Linked DNA regions of Drosophila melanogaster. The gene in region 2 interacts genetically with the main gene of each other region. Each region holds a gene or a part of one and is shown on either strand. Other genes may lie near its edges.

Region 1 (5,948 bases), on a different chromosome or scaffold from region 2:
TCAAACTAAATTACAAACCTTCCACTCCATACCACCTTACACACACCAGGCACATTGAATTTTAAATTTTCCAAATGTCGCGGTCACTCAACTGATTTCTATATACCCAACCTGGCACCCATGTACTGCACATATGCGTCGGGTGTGCGGCTCACCCAGACGCCGAGCATAATCCACACGTGATTGGCGATGGATATTGGACCTAAAAGCCTCCTTGTTGAATAAGCTAATCGAATTCATTAATATTTAGTGCCGACAGTTTGGGCGCACAACTAAACACTAATTAATCACTTCAAAGTCGCATCGAAAGTTCATTATTTTAATTGGCGAGCAGTGGTTTAAAACACAATATTTATCACCTTGAACTCTTGTGCATAAATTATCTATCTATCTACATCGCACTGCAAGAATCCAAGAATATTGTAAAAAGTTGGACTCCACTTAGATAGTTTTTGGAAAATTCGAAAATCTATAGAATTCATTTAGATCACAACGAAAGTTGGCATATTAGTTTTCCAAGCACTTTATTTGATGTTCTAAAAGTTGTTTATTTTAACTGATGTTTTCAATATGCGTATTAAAATATGTGTACCGATATAAATATATGTTCCGCAAAAATCACGCGATTACTCATTGATTAAATTTTTTAGCCTTTTCATATGAATTTCGAAACCTTTTTCGACTTACTGCCTTCGTAGTTCACTGCACTAGGACCGGGTTCCATTGTAACTTTGTATAACTTCCGTTCTTGTATATATTCAAGTCAAGTTAATGTATATATGTATTTATTATATATATTCTTTTTGAATTTTTTGGATCAAACGAGCTCAGCACAACCGTCGCACTGTAGTCGAAACTTTGCAATGGGTCTGGAGAATGTAGAACGCAAGTTGGAAACCAAAACCTTAAACAAAACACCCGATCAAAGGTATGCTTTCGAAACTCTCCGAGATCGGCAGAGCCGGAACGGTGGAAAAGGTTTACGAAACGGAGCGGAATTTAAAAACCTTACATTTTATTTATACGAAATGATTGTAGTTACACATCTTCAGCGTAGTCTAGTTCCACATAAGCAAAGATCCAAAGAATTACTTCTTTTTCTTATCCTTCTTTGTCTTTTTCGATGGAGGTGCCGCAGAAACCGCTTGGCTATCAGTTCCTTCGGTGGTCGTTTCCACGCTGAAGCCCTTGATGTACGGCTTGACCAGCCGGAAGATCAGCTTCTCGTGCTGCACATTGCTGGAATCCAGGCTAAGACGAACCGTGACTGGATCAAAGGAGTGGAACACCACGTCACCGCAACGCTGTGTATGATCCTCTTCGTTGAAGGTGAAGACAATCTCGCTCTTGACGCGCTCCACACCGTCCTTGCCATCCTTGTCCGACTTTAGATACAAAGTGCCTTCCAGGCCATACTTGGGGATTAGCACTTGCAGAGCATTCTTGCGCACAAATAGCACATATCTAGGGATGGGTAATAATTGAAAAGAATGTTGCCCACTAGTGGTTTCTTCGACTCACCCTTCCTCATCCTCCTCCTTGCCGCGGAAAAAGAGATGCGTGTTGAGGGCCACTGATGCGCGACCAGCGTACTGAGCCATTTTGTGGCGGTAGTTAAGATTATGACACAGCTCCTCATTTGACTTTCGGTCCAATAGCTGGGCATAGGTGCTATCCGCGCCGATTGAGGCGGCCAGCAGGCGATGTACCATAATGTCGGAGTAACGACGAATGGGCGACGTAAAGTGCGTGTAGATGGGAGCAGCCAGACCGTAGTGGAAGAACTCCTCCTTCTGCAGACTGCCGCTGATGAAGTACACTGCCTGCATCATACAGCGTGTGGTGAGGATGCGGATCATTGTGTTAAAGTACGGATTATCCGCCTTGACACACTTGTCCAGTGAATGCGACAGCTCCAGTCCCGAATTGATGTCCACCTGGAAGCCCTGGTAGCGCGCAGACTTTACCAGCGGATCGAAATTGGTAGGCGGTGGCCGAGGATGGCGACGCAGAACAGCGCACTCGGAGAACTCCGTTGCGATATGCTCGGCCACCGTGATGTTGGCCAGCAACATGAACTCCTCCACCATGGAATTCGTCTCGCGCATCTGCTTCACCTCCACCTCGAGTGGTTCGTGTGTCTCGCTGTCCACCTGGAAGCGGATCTCCGGGGAGGCAAGGACAAGGGCTCTGTAAATTATGGATGCCTTAGTTCACTTGATTACGAGGTGTTAATATAATCTTACCCATTATCCATTCGTCGCTTTTTCAGTATTTTGGCCAACCGATTAAGATTTCTCAGGGACTTGGCTATTTCATTCTGTTGCGTGGCATCGTCGATGATATTCTGCGCTTCCTCGTAGGTCATGGCACGCTTCGATTTGATGACGCTCTTGTGGAAGCGTTTGCTTAACACATTTGCTTCATTGTCCACTTCCCACACGCAGGAGAAGGCGAATCGCTCAACACCGCCAACCAATGAGCAGAGATTTGAGCTGAGTAACTCGGGTACCATGTCGATTCGTTTGCCCACCAAGTACACGGTGGTTCCCCTGGCCGCTGCCTCCATGTCCAGTGCGTTTCCTGGACGAATAAAGTGACTTACGTCGGCTATGTGAACGCCCACTTCCAGATTGCCGTTCGGTAGTTCCTTGCAGTGCAAAGCATCATCGATATCCGTGCAGCCCGGGGGATCCACAGAGCAAATGTACAGATCCCTCAGATCCACACGCTTGGAATAGTCCTCGTCAGTAATTGTCCAGGGCATTTTCGGCAAGAAGCTAAGCACTTCGTCCGAGAACTTGCAGTGCGGGACGTCGTGCTCCAGCAGGATAACCTCGTTCTCGGTGGCCATGTCTCCGAGCGGTCCCAGGGAGCGCACAAAATGTCCATGTGGGTAGCGCGAGTTGCGCGGCCATGTGTCAATCGTTACGATGATGCGCTGGTTCTGCAGCATTGCTGCCTGTCGCGTTTCGATACGGATGCGCGGAATCTTACGGTCGGCGGGCACAAAGATGTGCCGATTTGTATCCTCTATTAAGCTAGGCTGCAGGATGCCGCAATACTGTCGCCATTTCCGTCGCACAATACCGACAATTCGCCCTGTGGGCGTGCGCTCTGCGGATAAGGCAGCGGCACGCACCTGATTCAACATCTCATTTTCATCCTTGGCCCTTTCCTCGCTGGGCACTTCATCGGCATAGACATTCTTCTCCTCCAGTACAATTTCACTGGGTGCTGACCACTCCGCCTCGGGCAAAAGCTCCACGGCCACCAGGTCGCCATCCACGGCCCGATTAAGAGACTCGCGTCCTTGGATAAGGATCTATTAAACAGAAATCGTATTGTGAAGCGTATGCCAGGGAAGATATTTAGCGTTTTAACTTACCCCCTTTTCGAATTTCTCTACATTGACGGTGCCCTCCAAGTAGTTTTCCCTGGATGCCTGAAAAGTGCCCTGTAGTAGCTTATTTTGGCGCAGTCCTTCCAGCAGCTCCTTCATGCTGAGATGCGGCGGGTACTGGGGCAGACCATTCTTCTCGCTGTCGAATGTTTTGTGCGACAGCTTATCCATCAGAAGTGGAAAATCCTCGAGAGATTTCACGTACTCCGCTGCTGTGGTCACCAGAATACCTTCTGCTTCGGCCTTAGCACGATTGGCAGCATCATCTGTGAGCAGAACAACTCGCGTAGCAGCTTTGCCACTGCGCTCGAACTCTTTAGAGGATTGCGAGGCCTGCAGGTGATCATCGTACCACTTGGTGGCCAGACGAATGGCCCGATCATTGCGATCATTGGCGGTCTCATCTGGTTCGCGATCAGCATAGGTTTCCCTAGAAGAAGCACTATATTATAAAGGTTTCCCAAGAAAATCCATTAACCCACTTGTGGTGCTCGTTGACGAACACATAGAAGTTCCTGGTGCGGTCGTGGACGATCTCATTGAATCGCTTGTAAATGGCGGAGCTCCTGTGCTTCACCTCGTTGAGCACGGTGGTCAGAACGACTACGTTGCGCAAAACATCCTCCTCCAGCACGTCGATCTGGTCCAGAACCACATTTGTGTCCAAAACGAGATAGTGCGGGAATTTGAAGAGGGTGCTCTTATTCGCGTGCTGCGAGGTGAGCTGGTATACCTCGTTTTGGAAACACTCCCGGCACAGCTCGGAGCCGCAGCCGATGTCGTCGCGCAGATAGTGCTCCCGTACAATCTTCAGAATGTTGCCGCGCTTGGTTTTACGCGTAAATTCGCGTAAAGTTTGCATTTTGTTGAACCGCGTTCGAATTGTTACACCTTCACATGTGTGCCGGAATAGGGAGGCCCGTGCATGATTCGACTGCGGTATTATCTGCCTAAGGCCTGTTCACACTGCAGCCGCAATGGTCACAGTGGTTTGAGTCTACGGACTGCCCCGTATCTTAAGGTATAATTTAGTACCATTTATTGAACTGATTTTCTATATCGGCGCTTAGCACGTGTAGAACGCACGTTGCTCAAATTTTGTTATTTAAAACGCTAAATTACACAGCTCCCGGATGGTGCCGAACGAGAAAAGCTTTCCCCGAGGCGGGACAATCCACAGCGAAGTCAAAACCGACGACGTGAGCCTGAATATCGTGAGTTTAGCCAGCGAAATATCCGAGATCTTTGTACATACTTTTCTGTCCCACAGGTTTTCGGTGCCTCGCAGAAGAAGGTGAAGAAGGCGCCGAAAGTAAAAGAGAACCTTCTGAGCTACGAAACCGAGGAACAAAATGGCCAACTGGAGGCCTTCTCCGCGGAAACGCTCAATATGGACACGCTGCAGGAGGACATGCTGGTCATGGGAGTGGTCAAGGAGTTGACAGCCACCGCACTGCAGATCGCTTTGCCCGGTCGGATGTTCGCCCGCACCTTGGTGGCGGATATATCCGACGCCTACACCCGTGTGGCCAAGGCGGCCATGTCCGGAGACACCAGCGAGTACCACGACCTTACCGAGCTCTTCCAGTTGGGCCGCATCGTCTACGGCAAGGCCATCAAAACAGAAAAGCTGGACACCGGTCGGGTTAGCCTGCTCCTTTCCCTCAAGCCGGCCGATGTGCACGGTAATCTGCATCACAAGAGCATTAAGAAGGGTTTCATCTTCTCTGGCGCCGTGGCGGAGGCTCTGGAGCACGGCTATGTCATCGAGTCGGGAGTACAAGGACTTCAGGCATTCGTGCCATGCGAGAAGCCAGCTCAGAAGCTACACGTGGGGCAGTTGGCTTTCCTAAAAGTCAAAACCGTTCATCACGACACCCACCAGAGCACCTGCACCTGTGTCCAGGTGGAGCAGGACCAGCTGCGCATCAAGAGTCAAAACGAGACGAATCTCGACTACATTCTGCCAGGCAGCATTGTAAAGTTTAAGGTGGCCAAGCATCTGAAGGATGGCCTCAAAGGCAGCATCATGAATGAATCCTTTAGTGCCTACGTCAACGAACATCATCTAGCTAACGCTTTGGATACTTTGGATGCCTACGAGCTGAATGAGGATTACAATGCCAGGGTACTCTACGTGATGCCCCTAACCAAACTAGTGTACTTAACTCTTAATCTGGATATCAAAACTGGAGCTGCAGTAGCAAAAGATCAGGATGAGGAAGAGCAGGAGGTAGAGCCCATAAAGGTGGGTTCCGTGGTGGAAAAAGCCAAGGTTCTGCGCTTGGGCAGCGGTGGCGTGGTACTGCTTCTTAATAAGAAACTAAAGGGCATTATCTCATACGGTTCAATCAGAGGCAATTTCAAGGGAAATTATGACAAGGACGAAGTATTGTCCAAATACGGAAGAAAAACGAAGCATAAGGTTCGCATCCTAGGATACGATGTCATCGAATCCTTGTACTACTGCTCCGATGATCCCAACGTGGTCAACGAAAAGCTGTTCTGCCTGGAGGATATTAATGCCGGCGATCTGGTCACAGCG
Region 2 (5,046 bases):
ATCATGAGTGAGTCACAGTGATTGACACAAATTTCTAAACAGTTGTGTATGGTGTTTCTATAAGTTATCATTTATGTATTTAATTTATGTATCATCCAACGGATACCAAAAAGAGCGCATTATCGCAAAATCGGCTGATGAGTCAAAGAAAACACGAGGTCTTCACGATTAGGGTTCAATATCCCATATTCCAATGGCCCTTTCGGGTATTTCCACATTTCGGTACATACCCTTATCTTTTCTCCTCTTCGTTCACCGTTTCGACGATTGAAAGGCGAGCAATTGGATATTGAAAGTGGTATTGGAATTAGCTGTAGTACTGCGCTTTCAATGGGGATCATCCCACTCAATTAACGGTGCTTTTCATGGGCTTAGTGAGGACTTAAAACAGAGGGGCATCTTAACATTTATCAACAAATTAGCTAGTTTTTTCCTCATTCTTGATGATATTATAAACCAACTAAAGAATTCGAGTGCTACATATGTATTAACAAATATCCCTCTGCCTAGCTACGCCCGAGCACTACACCACACCCCCCCCCCCCACAAACGCTGTAATTACCGTTAACCAAGCCTAGCATTGTCTTTGGCCCTCTGTAACGTAACTGTAACTGTAACTAGCGCGCTTTCTTTGCTCTGCCGACGCTGACGCCTCAGCCACTGTCCGTTTTTGGGCTACTGGCAGCAGGTACAGTGAACACCGAACGACGATTCATGGTCGTTTTAGTGCCCACAAATAAGAGAGTTGGTGCCATTTTTACTTGTGAATAGTGCAGAATTGGTGCGGGAAAAATGAGAGAAGAAAACCAACAAAAATCTTAATGAATTACGAAACACTAGTCACTTAGCGAGTGTCTGCTGTACACTTTGTGCTTCATGAATGAAGTGGAGTGCGGGGAGATTGGCGACTAGACAAAGAGTATGCCGCTGGCCCACCCTCTGCCCCCGACGAGTCGGAAGTGACGATGAGAGCGGCGAGAAAAGAAAACAAACTGTTGGCGGCTGGTTTCTCAGCGAGAGAGTTTGCCTGAGCGAGCGAGGGAGCCTGGCTGCCGGGGATGAGGATGTTTGGCGGTGAAGGGGAGGCAAGGCCGCAATTAATTACAAACTCACCCAGCTGTCCCCACACGTTGCCCCCGTCTACCAGCTTCTGCCACTTCCTCTTCCCCCCCCCCCCCCCCCGCTGCTTCTCGCAAGTCTGCATCCGAAAAGTGGCACGTATCAATGTTGAAAGCATAAACACACAAAGAGACCAACGAGGCGCTCTCTCGCCAACGCCAAAGCGAAGAGCAGGAGGAGGAGCAGAAGAAGCGGCGAGAAATGCAAATGCCTACAAAAAACAACAGTTCTATCCAAAGTTAAATAGTTCACTTCGATGTAATGCATTCCCGTCTACTTTTCCAACATTAAACGAAGTCATCGAAAATAATTGTGATATCACACCCTTTATATGTACGTTCTACGCACATTTGATCCTTTCATTATCCTTTTTTCTTGTTGCTCGCCTGACCAAATTACAAATGACCACACAAACATGTGTTCGAGTGCAGGAACAGCCACCTTGCATAAATGGCAACTGCCCATACGTAATACGTAATCCGTACTACGTACTGCGTATGTACATATGTATGTACACACATGCAATGTTCATCCTTCCTCCTTTTGGTTGCGGATGATACCCACTGAAAGTAGAGTTGAAACGACTAAAAGTCTAACAATGCCCACTGCCCCAAGCACTGTCGTTTCTTGAATGCAGCCAAATCAACAAACATCACGGGAAGAGCGTGTGTGTGTGTTTGCGAGTGTTTGCGGGCCGACAAACATGCGCAGGCTGAAATCTGCTGACGACGCTGAGGCGGCATTTATCACTCCCAAAAAGCGTTGGGCTCCGCAGGGGGGTGAGGGAAGGGTACGCGCATTGGGAGTCATTGATTTTCGTTTATGAGTCGGGCAGGCGACGCTCTCACTTTTTATACGTTCATTCACACGCGGCACAGTGGGCCAGAACAAGAACAAATGGACAACAAAGCATTTCGGATGACAAGAATTCGAAGCTAAGACATGCGTACAATTAAACTTTAGAAAGATCTAAAAAAAAACCCTTGATATTGACTTAGGGTGGTTTCAGCCCAACTTACCTGTGGATTAACACGTTTGCCAGGTAAATACTGCGATTTGTAAGATTTTGACTTTAAGACGTTGGATAATCCCCGACAATCCGTTGATATGCGTTACTCCATGAAGGGCTTGAACGCCAAGCATTTGTTGGCTTTATGGTTAAAACACAATAATGCAACAATGGGTCATCAACTGCCAATTTATCCCACTGTGCTCTCCGCTGAAGTGAAGTGGCCGATGCAAAGGCAAAGAGAACGTTCCCATCGCACAGAGAGAGGGAGAGAGAGAGCAATCAAGAGTTGAGAGAGCGACTAAAAAAGGTGTAGGAGTCCGTGGAGGGGGGAAGGAGGGACAGAGGATAATAGAAGGGGAGGAGAATGGGGAATTTAAATATGTTATTGATAATTGAAATTACCGCGCGCCCCCGCTGCTCATTCAAATGCAATTTTGTTGCAAAGTTTCGATTTCGTTGTCACTCCCATCCTCCGCTTTTTGTTATTCCTACCTGCACATTGAAACGAAGCGAAATAAAAGCGCGTGCTAAGGACTTAATGGCAGTGCACTAAAAACATCTTCAAATTCAAACGGAATAAAATTGAAGCGAGGCGCTGATTTCGCTGCCGCTGTCGACGCAGGTAGCGGTGTGTGTGTGTGTGTATGTGTGTCCGTTTCGGTTTTTATTTACTTTGTTCTGCTTGTTTTTTCCAGTCTCTCGTTTTTCCTTTTTGTTTTTTGGCTTCTTTTGTTATCGGGCAGCAAATTGAAAGCAATAAATACTTAATTGTTAGCTTGTTGGTTATGTTGTTTTTGTTGTTGCTGCTGCCGCTTAATTACGTAATTCCGAACTTATCTGGGCGACTTTAAGAAAATGCAAAAGAGCGCCAAGCGTGTGGCAATGGGAATGGAAGAGGGATGGAATTGGAATGAGACGCGAAAGAAATCAAAACGGCCCATTTAAGCAACACAAGAGACACAGAAATTATGAATAGAGGTGGGGAAAAAATGTAAAACCATTGAAAATTTGTCAATATCGAAAGTGGGTCTAAGTCAAATGGCAGGAGTACGTGTGATTACAATTTTTTAAGATAATCAAAAACGTATGTACGTACATATGACTTATGTACATACATATGCTCATATATGTACATATGACTTATGTACATATGTACATATGCTCATATATGTACATATGTATGTGTGTGTGGGCATTATAAAAGATGAACTACTGAGATCGAGATCGAGTTGATGGCACTATACCAAGAAACGCGCGCAGGCAAATGTTTCTGGCTTATTTGTCCTCTTGTGACACAATTAGCTGATAAAGTTCCTGATGTTTTTCCCCGCAGCGTCTGGCATGTGAATCATCATCGTCATGGGAGCTTTTGTTTCTGGGAATTTCAATTTTGAATAAACAAAATCAAAACGAGAACTTTACTTCTTGCGGCTAAACACTTTGCACAAACACGTGCAAACTCTATGTTTGCATTTGCGTGTGTGTGTGTGTGTGTGTGTGTATGTCGTCATCGACCGTCAGCGGCGCCTTAATAATAGTACACAAAAATGATAAACAAAGATCCCCCCACTCACAGCACTCGACCCCTCCAGCCATTCACAACGCACGCTCATGAACTCTTCCCTTTCTCTCGCACTCGCACTTGCACTCGCTCTCTCTTTGTTTGAGTGCAAATTTGCATTGTCTCTTTGTGCTCGCACACAAACATATGTATGTATGTACATGCACGCAGACATAAGTGCGCACATAATCACACACGCTGACTAGTGCCAAACTGACCTCACAATTGTTGTTGTTACGATTATTTGTGCCCACTTTCTTGCTTTTGTTGTTGTCGTTGTTGTTGTTGTTATTTTTCGGATCATGCTAAAACTGTAAATGATGAGATGAACTTGTTGAAGAGGATGAATCGAGCTGGAAACGGGGAAGGGGGTTGATTCGAGCTCGCATTTCAAAACCTCAAAATACATAGTTTATAGACCTTCTACAGAGTCATAAGCACACATACATACATACATCCATGTATGCATACATCTTTGAGACAACACTTAAAAAACTATTCTACTTGGATTCTGATTCGCAAAACAGACTATAGGAGCCACTCTACAAGCATGAACATATGTATACATGCGCATATGTGTGTATTTAATTTTGTTAAACCCGTTAAGCCGAGCCGATAAGTTCAAGGGGTTACCCCCACGCCTAATTTGGCAATTTCAATGGATTCGAATGATTCCATGTCAGCGCCGTGTGGATTTCTCAATTAGCAGTTGCCGCAAGTGTAGGTGATTGCCTTAGCAAGTACTTTGCATAGCCAAATCCAGCCAAAGTCACTATTTTTACATAATAAAGGGGCAGGAGCAACAACTATGCGGATTATGCTCATCACCGAAGCGCCCAACCACTCAAACACCCACGACAACACAAATACACCACCCACTGACCAGCGATTTGCTTCCGTTACAAATGAGTAAAAATCTTTGCGACAAATATACATACACATGTACAGTGCAGGTGGAGAGAATAGCACTGAAAATGTAATTACAGTTTTAAGATATGTGGGAATATTGGAAAAATTATGTTAGCAATTTGCAAGTTGGAACTAAGATTATTGTGTCTGTAAAGATTGTTAATGCAATATGTCAATTAACTTAGTTCATACAGAGCACCTATATAAAGTAAATCAAATCATTTAGCTTGAGACGATTGGCCTAAAAACTTTTATTTAAGCGCCTAGGTGTTATTATTTGTTTGCCTCAGCTGTGTGTATGCATGTACAAATACGCACGTAGGCCATTCGCTCTCTCACTCTCTCTCTCTTAGGCGCTCTCTTAAGCCACTTCCGTTTGAACGCAAACATCTGTGCGCTCTGCCACCGAGGGCAGAGGCAGCGACGCCACTGCGGCAGCGGCTGC
Region 3 (5,033 bases), on a different chromosome or scaffold from region 2:
TCTATCTGCTTGTATCTCAATATCTGGCTAATCGCCGACAAACAACAACACGTGCCTCCCTATCAGACTCTCTTTCACACTTTGTTAGCGCCACCACATCTGTGGATTAATTAGCTTCTGAATCACAGACTGCACGCACTTGAAAAGCGCATTTTTTATAGCATCTTTTAAAGGTGCGGAAACTCTGATACGTGTACCTATATACAACTGCGATCTTAGAGATGGGTCAATAAAGATATTAAAGCTATTAGATAAACTTTTGACATTTTGGTGTGCTCGTACAAGGAAAAGATTATATCACAATCTACACATTGTCATTCGCTATTATTAGGAATTTCTTTAACAACTTAGGCAGATAAATTAATCAGATGAATTACAGCCAATCAAAGAAACCAAATATATCAGTGCCACTTTTTTGACCGCAACTGTATGGCAGACCGCTGAATGAGATTAACCCATTTTCCCGCTAATGAACGGTGCCCATTTGGCGGGGGAATGGCTTTCAATAAACCCAAATAGAACCAAACTCATCGACAGCTCATGAAATATGCGCACAGCGTGAAAAGAAATGGCCAGAAGCACAAAGAGAGTGAAAGAACGGTTAGGCGGTCGAATGCAAATTCTCCTGGAATTTGGCCAAGTAGAAAATAGGTTTAGTTTTTGGTTAAAAAGGTAGAGTTACAAAACAAATTTATTGCTCGACCTTTTTTTTTTGGGGCTTAGTGCAAGCTCATTTGTTGTTTTGCCAAAATGTAAATGAAGTCAACGTTGTCGGCCGACTGACTGACATTTCCCATTAGCCGATTCGGCCACGTTATATTGTCTGCAGATTCTGGCCATGGTGAACTTTTGCCTAGACGGATTTCAGCACTTACTTCTTCTCCTTCTTCTTCTTCTTCTTCTTAAGGCGAAGAACCGCACTTTACAGGGTCTTTTCGACGATTGTTTACATTTATGGATGCATAATTGGGTGGCATGCCAGCCCCCCCTCACCATCTACCTAAATGTATTTAAATTTTGCCCACTAATTGACTCCCACAAGCCCACAAACTGCAAAGATGATGGGCTGAGAAGTTGGATTTGAGTCTGTAACCGAAGCCCAATGAAACTGCAACTCATGCCGATAGCAACTTCCTTCCTTTGCCTCTCGAGCTCTTCATCACTCACTCTTCGCTCGGATATAGTATAGTGTATATATACTATACGATTTATATATATATATATACAAGTGTCGGGGCAATTGTCGCATTCGCAATCGCAGTCGGAATCGGAATGGCAACACCTACTGCACATTTTAATTTAAGCTTTTTTTTCGGGCCGCCCCGTTTTCAGTATTAAATGCATTTGTTTTCGAAGGCGTGTTGGCAGTCTGAAACTCATCCATCTGTTTTATTCAAGGCTATGTGTGAACTGAGAAAAATCGTTCTCAAACCGAAAAAAAATCATGAAACATGAAACTAGACCTTTTTAAGATTTTAAATGAATTGCCATTTATTTGAGGTTTCATTTATTTCTTACTTATTGCCAAATATATATGAGTGCTGAAACAATTATTGACAATTCTTATTTATTGGCTTAAAGCCGGCAATATACTGGTTATAAAAGCCAAAAATATATGGCATATTTTAAAGGTCACATGCAAGTGTTTTGCATTTTGTTAATATCAGGCCATTAATTAAAATAAAATTGTCAAAAAGGCTAAATACTTTTAACAAGAATTTCAAAGATTAATATATTATATATTTATATGAGATTTAAATAAGCCAGACTTTAATAATTTTTAAGCATCAAAACAATGGCAACAGCTTTTTTCAGTGCACATGTATCAGAAAAAAGAGTTTGAGAGATGAAGAGCCAGAAAAAGTTGCTGAACCCAAATTAACTTGACATTGTGCTGCTAATTCAGCACTAATCTCTTGAATTGATGGCAAAAAAGGAACTATTTACGAAACTGAGACGTCTCAAATTGTATAATATTCAAATATGAATACGCAATCCGAGGAGGAAGCCGAAAAGCACAGCAGCAAACGCAGATGTTGTCAACCTTGAGAGCCAAAGCCGTGTTTTCAGCTCGCATTTAAATGAAAATGAAACTGAAGTGTAGCAAACAGCAAACACCAAACAGAGCGACCAAAAAAAAAAAAAAAAAGTGCGTAAGCAGGAAGTCCAGCCGTACAGTTAAAGAAAAAGTGGGCAATTATGAATGAAAGATGCTGAGCACTGCGTTTTCCTCCAGGAAGGCGCAACAGGTGCAAGGGCTAGGGTTTCTCTTCGTTTTTCCATGCTTTTTTCGTACTTTTTTCCTGCTTTGCATGCGTGTCTCTTGGTCTCTGCGAACTCACCTTTCTGCTCAATTACTTTTGTTTTTTTTCTGCAGTCGCTGGTGTTGCTGTTGCTGCTGCTGTTGTTGTTGTTGTTGTGACGAAACTGTTGCAAAATTGCTGATATTTTCCCAATGATTACGTATTCGCAGAGCGACGACGAGGAAAAGTGCTTGCCCCTAACTGTTGTTTATTTCTTTACGTATATGTATGTACGTATATTTCATCAATGCTGCAACAATGATTTTCTATTATTATTTATATTGATTTTGTAATTGCCTTTTTGCTACAATTGCCGTTTGCTTTTCACTTTATTAATTTCACTTTTTCGATGCTGCTGGGCTGTGTGGAAACGAGTTTGCCATAAATTGTAATATTTAATTTGGACACGGGTATTTATGCGTCTTTTAAACTCGCGCGACAGAAATTTCTAATTCGCCAGCAAATTAATGAATTCAAAATTGTTGCTATCTCGGCATTTTGTGAACGCACTTCAATTGCATAACGGCGAAGACTGCGCGCACAAAAATTCGTGATGATGACGACCTTTTTTTCCAGCAGCTTCTTTCTCTTCTTTCTCAGTTTGTTTTCTTTTTTGATAATATTTTTTATTGGCTGGGGATTTGCTTTTCTTTCTTAGCTGCACTGCCGACGAGCCAGCGAACCAAACGCACTCGACGACTTTCGCGACTCGACTGAAGAATCGAAGGCGAAAAGCAGAGCCGGGCTTTCGTGGCGGCAGAGCCGAGCTTACCTGGCGGCCTTACCTGCCTTTTTTCTTACCGTAAGTTCGGTTACGTTGCTTCGGTATTTCTTTTACCTGTCTTTTTTTTTTCTTACCTTGTCGCTTCATGGCTAAGTTGGCTTAATAGCGTTTAGCGTGTCTAAAAGCTTGGCGAAGCTTTTTTGGAAAAGAGTTCCTACAAGAGCGCATTTCTAGCTCTTCGAATGGGCGCTCTCTTAGGCAGCTCTTTTGGGCTGCATTTTTGTTGAATTCCCAGCAAGATTTGGTGGTCATCAATCTCATCTCCCTGCTTTCTACACCTTAATTACATCATCGGCATATGTTTCTTGTCGTTTTTTTCTTCTTTTGCTTATCCAAAATGTTTTAATTTTTATTTATCAACTCGTTACTTAAAAGCTTTTAGGCGAGATTTTTTGGCAGGCCTAACGGTTCTGGATTTTATATTTGTTTTTTATGGCCGATGCGCCTCTTATTCTAATGGCTTTCTGAAGGTCAATCGAAATGTCAAACTACCTGCGGTTCTACAACGCCCGCAGATCTCTGGAATTTATGTGACAGGCAATTAAAAATCTGCATTATACAAATAACACCGCTGCAACAAGTGCATGAGCCAAGAACTTGTCCGAGTTAGCCGAGTCTTTTTCGCAACTCGTTTTGCGGGCAGAAATTAAATTGCAAAATCACCAGGCGCAACCAAAAGTGACACGAGGCAAATGCACTAGTTCCATCAAATTGAAATGGTATTAAAACCATTCTGCTGGGCTTGTAAAATGCAAAAGACAAGACACTTTGGTAGAATTTAAATTTTGAATACCCTATGGAAAATAATAATAAATATTCGGGTCAACGATTTAATAGCTTAATATTTTAAGACAATGTACTAGCACAAGCAACTAATTTGAATAAATCACGCAAACAGAGCACTATAGTTGTTTAAACTGATATGAAGAAGATTAACTAGAGGCAAACATTTTTAAAAATTTTATATCACCACTAAATCCTTGTTTATTGCGTTCAAAATGTGCTTAAAATATACACTGCCTGTGTATATAGCGAATAAAGATCGTGAGGCTGCTGATGATGACGGACGGGCCCAGCAACAATGCTGGGAATGCTGTCTTGAAATCCGCAGCGCGTAAAATTATAAATTCATGTCGACGCAAGCCCAAGTTCGTTGCCTAAGTCTTTTGTTTTGATACGACTGCTTGCTGCTTCTTCTTGCGCATGTTTATCGATAAGAAGCGCACAGAGTTTCCCATTTAATTTGTCTAAGCAAATATGACTTCATTACGTGCCAAAAAAAAAAAGGAAAAAATTCCGGTTCGCATACATAACTCATCCCCAACTAATGACACCGTTTGTATAGCCAGGCAATAAGAAGTTTTGACTACTGGCGTATAAACATTTCGCTTGGGTGCTAATTACGGCCAACAACAATGGGAGCCAGCATAGAGTCTCGGCCAGCAATCAAGTTTAATTGATGCTATTATCAAATTATGAGCATTTCCAGTGCGTTTGAAGAGGAGTAGCATTCGTAGGTATGACAGTCCGAGTCACGCGGATGGCATCATAAAAGCTGATGAAACTGCAAAGTGGGGGCGTAGCTGTCGTTTTGCATTTGCTGTTAATGCGAAGCAGTTTCCACCGTTATTGTTCATTTCATACATCTTAATATGCAGCCCGCACGGCTTTGCACTTGTTACACTTTGGTAATCCATATTCAATTACCATGAGACAACGCTGGCATCGAAAATCGCTGGTATGCGGGGGTTACATAACATTCGAAACGGCTCCAAAATCAATTGGTCGCGTTAATGAAAAGTGAAAGACCAAAGTGAAAGACGCCCATAAAAAAGGGAGAGAACCCACAGGTGCTGGCATAATTGTTGTTACTTTATCGATAGCCAATTAAAGTCAAGTTCAAGTGGCCGCACCTCAGGTAATTATTAAAAGTCTGCGGCTGGGCC
Region 4 (5,044 bases), on a different chromosome or scaffold from region 2:
CTTCAAGCATTGTTCACTAGTTTCGGGATGTGTCACGATTAGATAAATTATCCTCTTGAGTGGCTAACTAAAGTACATGATCGGCGTGCGTTGAGTAGGGGCTTAGATGTGGTTCGGGAAAATGAGATAAGGGAAAATTACTTTTAAATCGAAACTTTCACGATAACGTCAAGTCTTTTTAGCTCGTTTTTCAAAATAAATGCCCCGCAATCGAATTTTCACTGGGCATCAGCTCTCGTAAGCGAAAAAAAAGTATCTCTGTATAAATTATGATATTATAGACGAAAACAGATTGAAGCGCCCAAAAGTGACTCACTGTAATTTCGAGAAGGGAACGCTTTTTTTTCGTCTGACCAACTGTTGCTGACAGCAAAAAAGGTAACAAACCAAATAAAACAGCAAAATAATATAAAGTAACAATTCGGTTGTTCGGTGGAACCAAAGAGCGCAGCTGGCAATCATCGACAGCGACAAAATCTATTATGCAAAGGCAACACAAAATTAAGGAACGCGAATGAAAAACCGCAAAGCAAACATGAAAAGCGCGCGCGCAAAAAAAAGAAAAACAATAAAAACTGACCGCACTCAACGTGGCCGAGCACAAAAGCTACTTAAACAACCGTTAAGTCAAACACTTTGCAAATGGCCCACACCCTCAACCCGTTTGGCCCCCTTTTGGAAAATCGGAAAACTAGTTGCCTAAGGTCAAATGGCGTTTAATAATTTGGGTTAGTCGAGTGGTAAGATATACGAGCAGTACGCTCGAGATAGATAGATATCTTGCAGATACCCAGACACACAGGCACACCACACTCACTCAAAAGTCTCAAAAGTAAGACATTCGACTCGAGTTTGGCGCGTGCCAATTAAACGTGCTTAGCTCTGTGCTCCCAGCTCTGTTTTATTGCCGCTGGGTTATGTTTCCCTGGTTTCAGCCAGGTCTTTATTTTCTTGCTGGTCCAGCACACGCCCAATTTTTTGACCATATTTACGAACAATATCGCATGACAGCCAACTCGGCAGTTGTCTTGCATGTGTCTCGGCGTTTCTTTCTTAAAGCCATAGCACACTAAAAGTTTTATCAGCCTAGTTTAGATAATCATGACCGAAGGAAATTGATCTTAATGTGATTTATCGAGCTAGTTATCACCATTTCTACTTTATTTTCATTTATTTATAACATAAGTAGATTTTTGTCTCAATACAAAATTTTTTAATTTGTAAGATTCCCACTTTGGGAATTTGATCCAGTAATTCCCCACATGATTTTGAGTTTTTGCAGTTTTGTGACTTCGTTTATTAAGTTTGCTCTCTCCTCCAATCGAAACTTCTCAATTACTTCTCAATTTTCCCCTTTTTGAACTTGTTCGATTAATTTTTATTGAATTACCGTTTTTTCGGCTTCCTTTCGAATGTGGCCGAGAAATTTGCCTTCCGCTCTGCCTTTTACACTTTTTTTTTTGCTGATAAGCTGACAAAGTGCTGAATTGACCATATATAAAATAAAAAAAAAACTGGGTAAAAGTAAACAAAAACAACCTGGATGCAGTTGACGCAGTTACTCGAAACTGGATGAATCAACAACCTTGAAAAGTGAAACTTGCACAAGGGGAACTGAAGCAGTTAACAAATAACGTCACAACTTGGCTAATTGCTGACCCATTTTAAAATGAGGGAAACCCTCCGGCTGTCCAGAAACTTTCTTAAACTAAACTAAATGATATTAAAAGCGGTAATCAAAAATATGAAACCTTTAAAGTCGCTTGTATAGAAAAAAATTGTTCGCCATTTTTTATTGATCAAATCTATTAGTTTGAAAATATCTTCAAACATTTAAAATGCTGTTTTTTCGAAAGAAATAAATTTACTATTCTTTAAGCAATTTCAAGTTAATAACATTTTTTGTTTACTTTTACAAGGAGATCCTATGAAAATCCTTCTTGTTAATAGCAAAACAAGTGGGCTTAAATAAAGTGTTGGTTATAAGCATTTTAGAAAATATATTACCAACATGCGTAAGCAGTTATTCTGTGTGGGAACTTCTTAAACATTTCGCAATTAATAACCGTATATGAATCGAAACTTATTTTTGTATCTGCAAATGTATTTGAGGTAAACTAAATGGATATCCTGATTAACCCACACAATTTCAAAGTTCTTAAGAGTGGAGAATTGAGATCTTTGTAGACTTACCACTCTGCTGGCTCTGGTACATCCTGACCCACTCGTAGAGGGCGTATAGCACTTGGTCGGTGGGCAGTGGAGACTGCATCGGCGTCTGCGTGGCCGACGAGGTGGTGGTGTTCGGCGATTGCGAGGCGGCGCTGCTGGCGCCGTCCGACGATGCGGAGGACGAAGATGAGGCCGAGGAGGCGGAGGCCGAGGACACGCCCGAGGAGGAGACGGACGAGGATGCGCTCGAGGGAAGTGGGTGGTTGTGGGGGGAGGAGTTGCCCGAGGCTCCCGATGAACTCGACGCTACGTCATCGGCGCCGCCCTCGGGCAAATAAAAGGGCACGGCCATTGTGTGGGTGTGTGTGTGTGCTGGCTTCCTTTTTGTCCTTATCCGCTTCCTTCCTTCCTGCACTTTGTTGGCACTTTGCTCTTCTTGTGATTGTTCTTCGCTGCTTTGTTTTGCTTTTTATTTTGTGTACAACTTTTGGTTAGAGTTCACTTTAATTGATTTTGTATTTCTTGTGCAAGATTTTGAATATTAGAAACTTTTTCATTTTTCGTGCAGTTTTTTCTTATGATTTGTTTTTTATCTTTCCTGATTTGTCAAACAACACTCAAGTCAAGTTTTTGCTCGGTTAGTTAGTTTTTCGGATTCTTCTGCGTTTTTCATCAACCCTTTTCGTGTTTAGAACTGATTTAAAAACACAAAACTGTTCACGATGGATTTCGTTTTTTATTTTTTGTTATTTTTTTATTCTTTGCTTTTGCTGTTGTCAATTATGGAAGAGCACTTAAAACGTGTCGCAGACTCAAAGAAAGAGGGCAGGAAACACGTCTTACTGGCTCCGCGGCTAAAAATGAACTGTTCGCACTGGGGCCTCAAACTACGGCAACAGAGCCTCTACCGCGACGTCGGCAGAGCGGCAGCGTAGGCGCGCAGCCAGTGCAATCGCAATCTCTCTCGCTCCCTCTCCTGCACATGCACGTGCATGAAGGAGGCACACTTGAGAGAAAAAAAATATTTTAAAAAATCCCGCTCTTTACCTACCCTGTAATAGCTGAGTGAGGAAGAGTATACTCGGACCATGAATTGCGTCTACATAAATGCATCAAGGAGCATAGTTAACATATCTAGATTTTAAGGTTGTAAAAATTTAATTGATTGGCTTTCGCATACTGAAAAAACTGAAATATTGTACCAGCGCACTAATTGCTGAAGTAACACTATTTTATAACTCATATTTACTTACAACATAAAGTACATATTTAGATGCACAAACAATGTGAAGGGTATGTCTCAGTTGGTACTCTTACAAAACGTTCTTTCTCGTTTCAACTAAGAGTGTGTGGGCAGGCTGTGTACGCGTGTATGTGTGGGTACACAAAGATCTTGTCGAGCAGGTAAATTCAGAAGAAGAAGAAAACTCATCAGAAGTAGCGAAGAGGCAGTATATCCGACTGCGCTGCCTAGCGAACGCTAAAGCAAAACAAAAACTGCAATTGTACAACACTCTTTGCTTGTGGTTTTCGTTATTGCACTTTGCTCTTGCTTTCGGTTTTGATTTGTATTTGTTTAAACAAGAGAGCGGAGGGAGAGCAAGCGTTCTTAAGAGGCCAAAAAACCGGAGTAGAAAGAGTATGATAAATGGGAGTATATTCTATGAGCGGATTAAATGAGTTAAAAAGGTAGTAGAAAAAAGGGAGTTTTTAGACAAAGCTTGATTACTTTCTCACATTTTAAAATATTTTGAGAAGGGAAGTTCACAATTTTATAATGTTCAATACTTTTTTTTTGAATATAAATTTGAAAAATAGCAACATGATTAACAAAGGATCCAACTTGCTTAGCTCAGGTTTTACTGGCTAAATGAATGTACATATGTATGTATGTATGTACATTTATGCAGAGAATGATTAGCTAGTTTATTGTATTTAATAAAATAAATTAAATTGTTTTATATTTTGGGTATTCAAGCAATGTAATAAAGACTATTTAGTTGGCGTTCATTCACATTAAACATTTCAAACGTGTTTTTGAATATACGATAAGGAGTTTAGCTAATTACATTTCCGATTTGGATGTTGGCTATATTTAATCAATTTCACCATATATCAAAAATTGACTGTGCAACATGAAAAACCTGTTTTCGCTCTTACTCTTGTCTTCCTCTGCATCTTCCCCTCTCCCTCCCACACATTATACAAACAGGCTTTTTCCTCTCCTTTTCTCTCTCTCTCTCTCTCTCTCTATTTCCTTCTCTGTCATTCCCAACTTTGCGCGCGAAAACGCTTGAAAAAAATTACGAAATACGCGTAAAACAATTCTTGGCTTTTAATTTAAATTTTACGGCAAATAATTCTCGTAACTGGCATTACTTTAGATCCATTTATTAGCTTTGTATCTATGTAGCTCTAGTAGCTCTCTTAATAATGTGGTATTATAAAATGTTCGCAATATAATTTAAAACAAATTAGATTCTAGACCTAAAACTAGTTTAATAGCCCATATTTCAAAATAAAAGAGGCCCGTCGAAAATTCTGAAGAAAATGCACTTGCATTTAATCTAGTTTTATTATACTTGTTCATATCCCTTAAATGATTACCTTAAATTTTTAAAATCAAAAATGATTTTAGCCCTACCTGACACCTTTTTTGTTTTCACCCAAAAACTCTCTTTATTTAATAAACTAAGATTGAGGTCAAAAATATGCCGATAAAGTGCGATAACACGTAAGCTAAACGACTCGACGACAAATGTATGTACGTAAGTATGTATGGATGAACATACATGAATATGTACATTATGCAAGGATTTCCCAAGATGACGAAATTCAAGCACACTCTTGCACAAAACGACATAAAAAACAT

The links.
Region 1: of Raf (region 2) and Dis3, changing one enhances a phenotype caused by changing the other (phenotypic enhancement), as found in Drosophila melanogaster (one study listed by BioGRID).
Region 3: of Raf (region 2) and exp, changing one enhances a phenotype caused by changing the other (phenotypic enhancement), as found in Drosophila melanogaster (one study listed by BioGRID).
Region 4: of Raf (region 2) and hid, changing one enhances a phenotype caused by changing the other (phenotypic enhancement), as found in Drosophila melanogaster (2 studies listed by BioGRID).

The regions. Positions count from the first base shown.
Region 1 is NT_033777.3:24,331,810-24,337,757, reverse strand, and holds Dis3 (Dis3), read right to left. Parts: upstream 4,326-5,948; 5' UTR 4,266-4,325; coding exon 3,886-4,265; intron 3,834-3,885; coding exon 3,389-3,833; intron 3,326-3,388; coding exon 2,247-3,325; intron 2,191-2,246; coding exon 1,522-2,190; intron 1,465-1,521; coding exon 1,089-1,464; 3' UTR 725-1,088; coding exon of another isoform or gene 688-724; 3' UTR 510-687; downstream 1-509. Other genes in the region: CG6432 (uncharacterized protein), read right to left, coding at 688-724; Rrp5 (ribosomal RNA processing 5), read left to right, coding at 4,537-4,617, 4,674-5,948.
Region 2 is NC_004354.4:2,293,446-2,298,491, reverse strand, and holds the start of Raf (Raf oncogene), read right to left. Parts: upstream 3,027-5,046; 5' UTR 2,534-3,026; intron 2,339-2,533; 5' UTR 2,139-2,338; intron 1-2,138.
Region 3 is NT_033778.4:11,937,544-11,942,576, reverse strand, and holds the start of exp (expansion), read right to left. Parts: upstream 3,021-5,033; 5' UTR 2,343-3,020; intron 1-2,342.
Region 4 is NT_037436.4:18,182,599-18,187,642, forward strand, and holds the start of hid (head involution defective), read right to left. Parts: upstream 3,044-5,044; 5' UTR 2,525-3,043; coding exon 2,194-2,524; intron 1-2,193.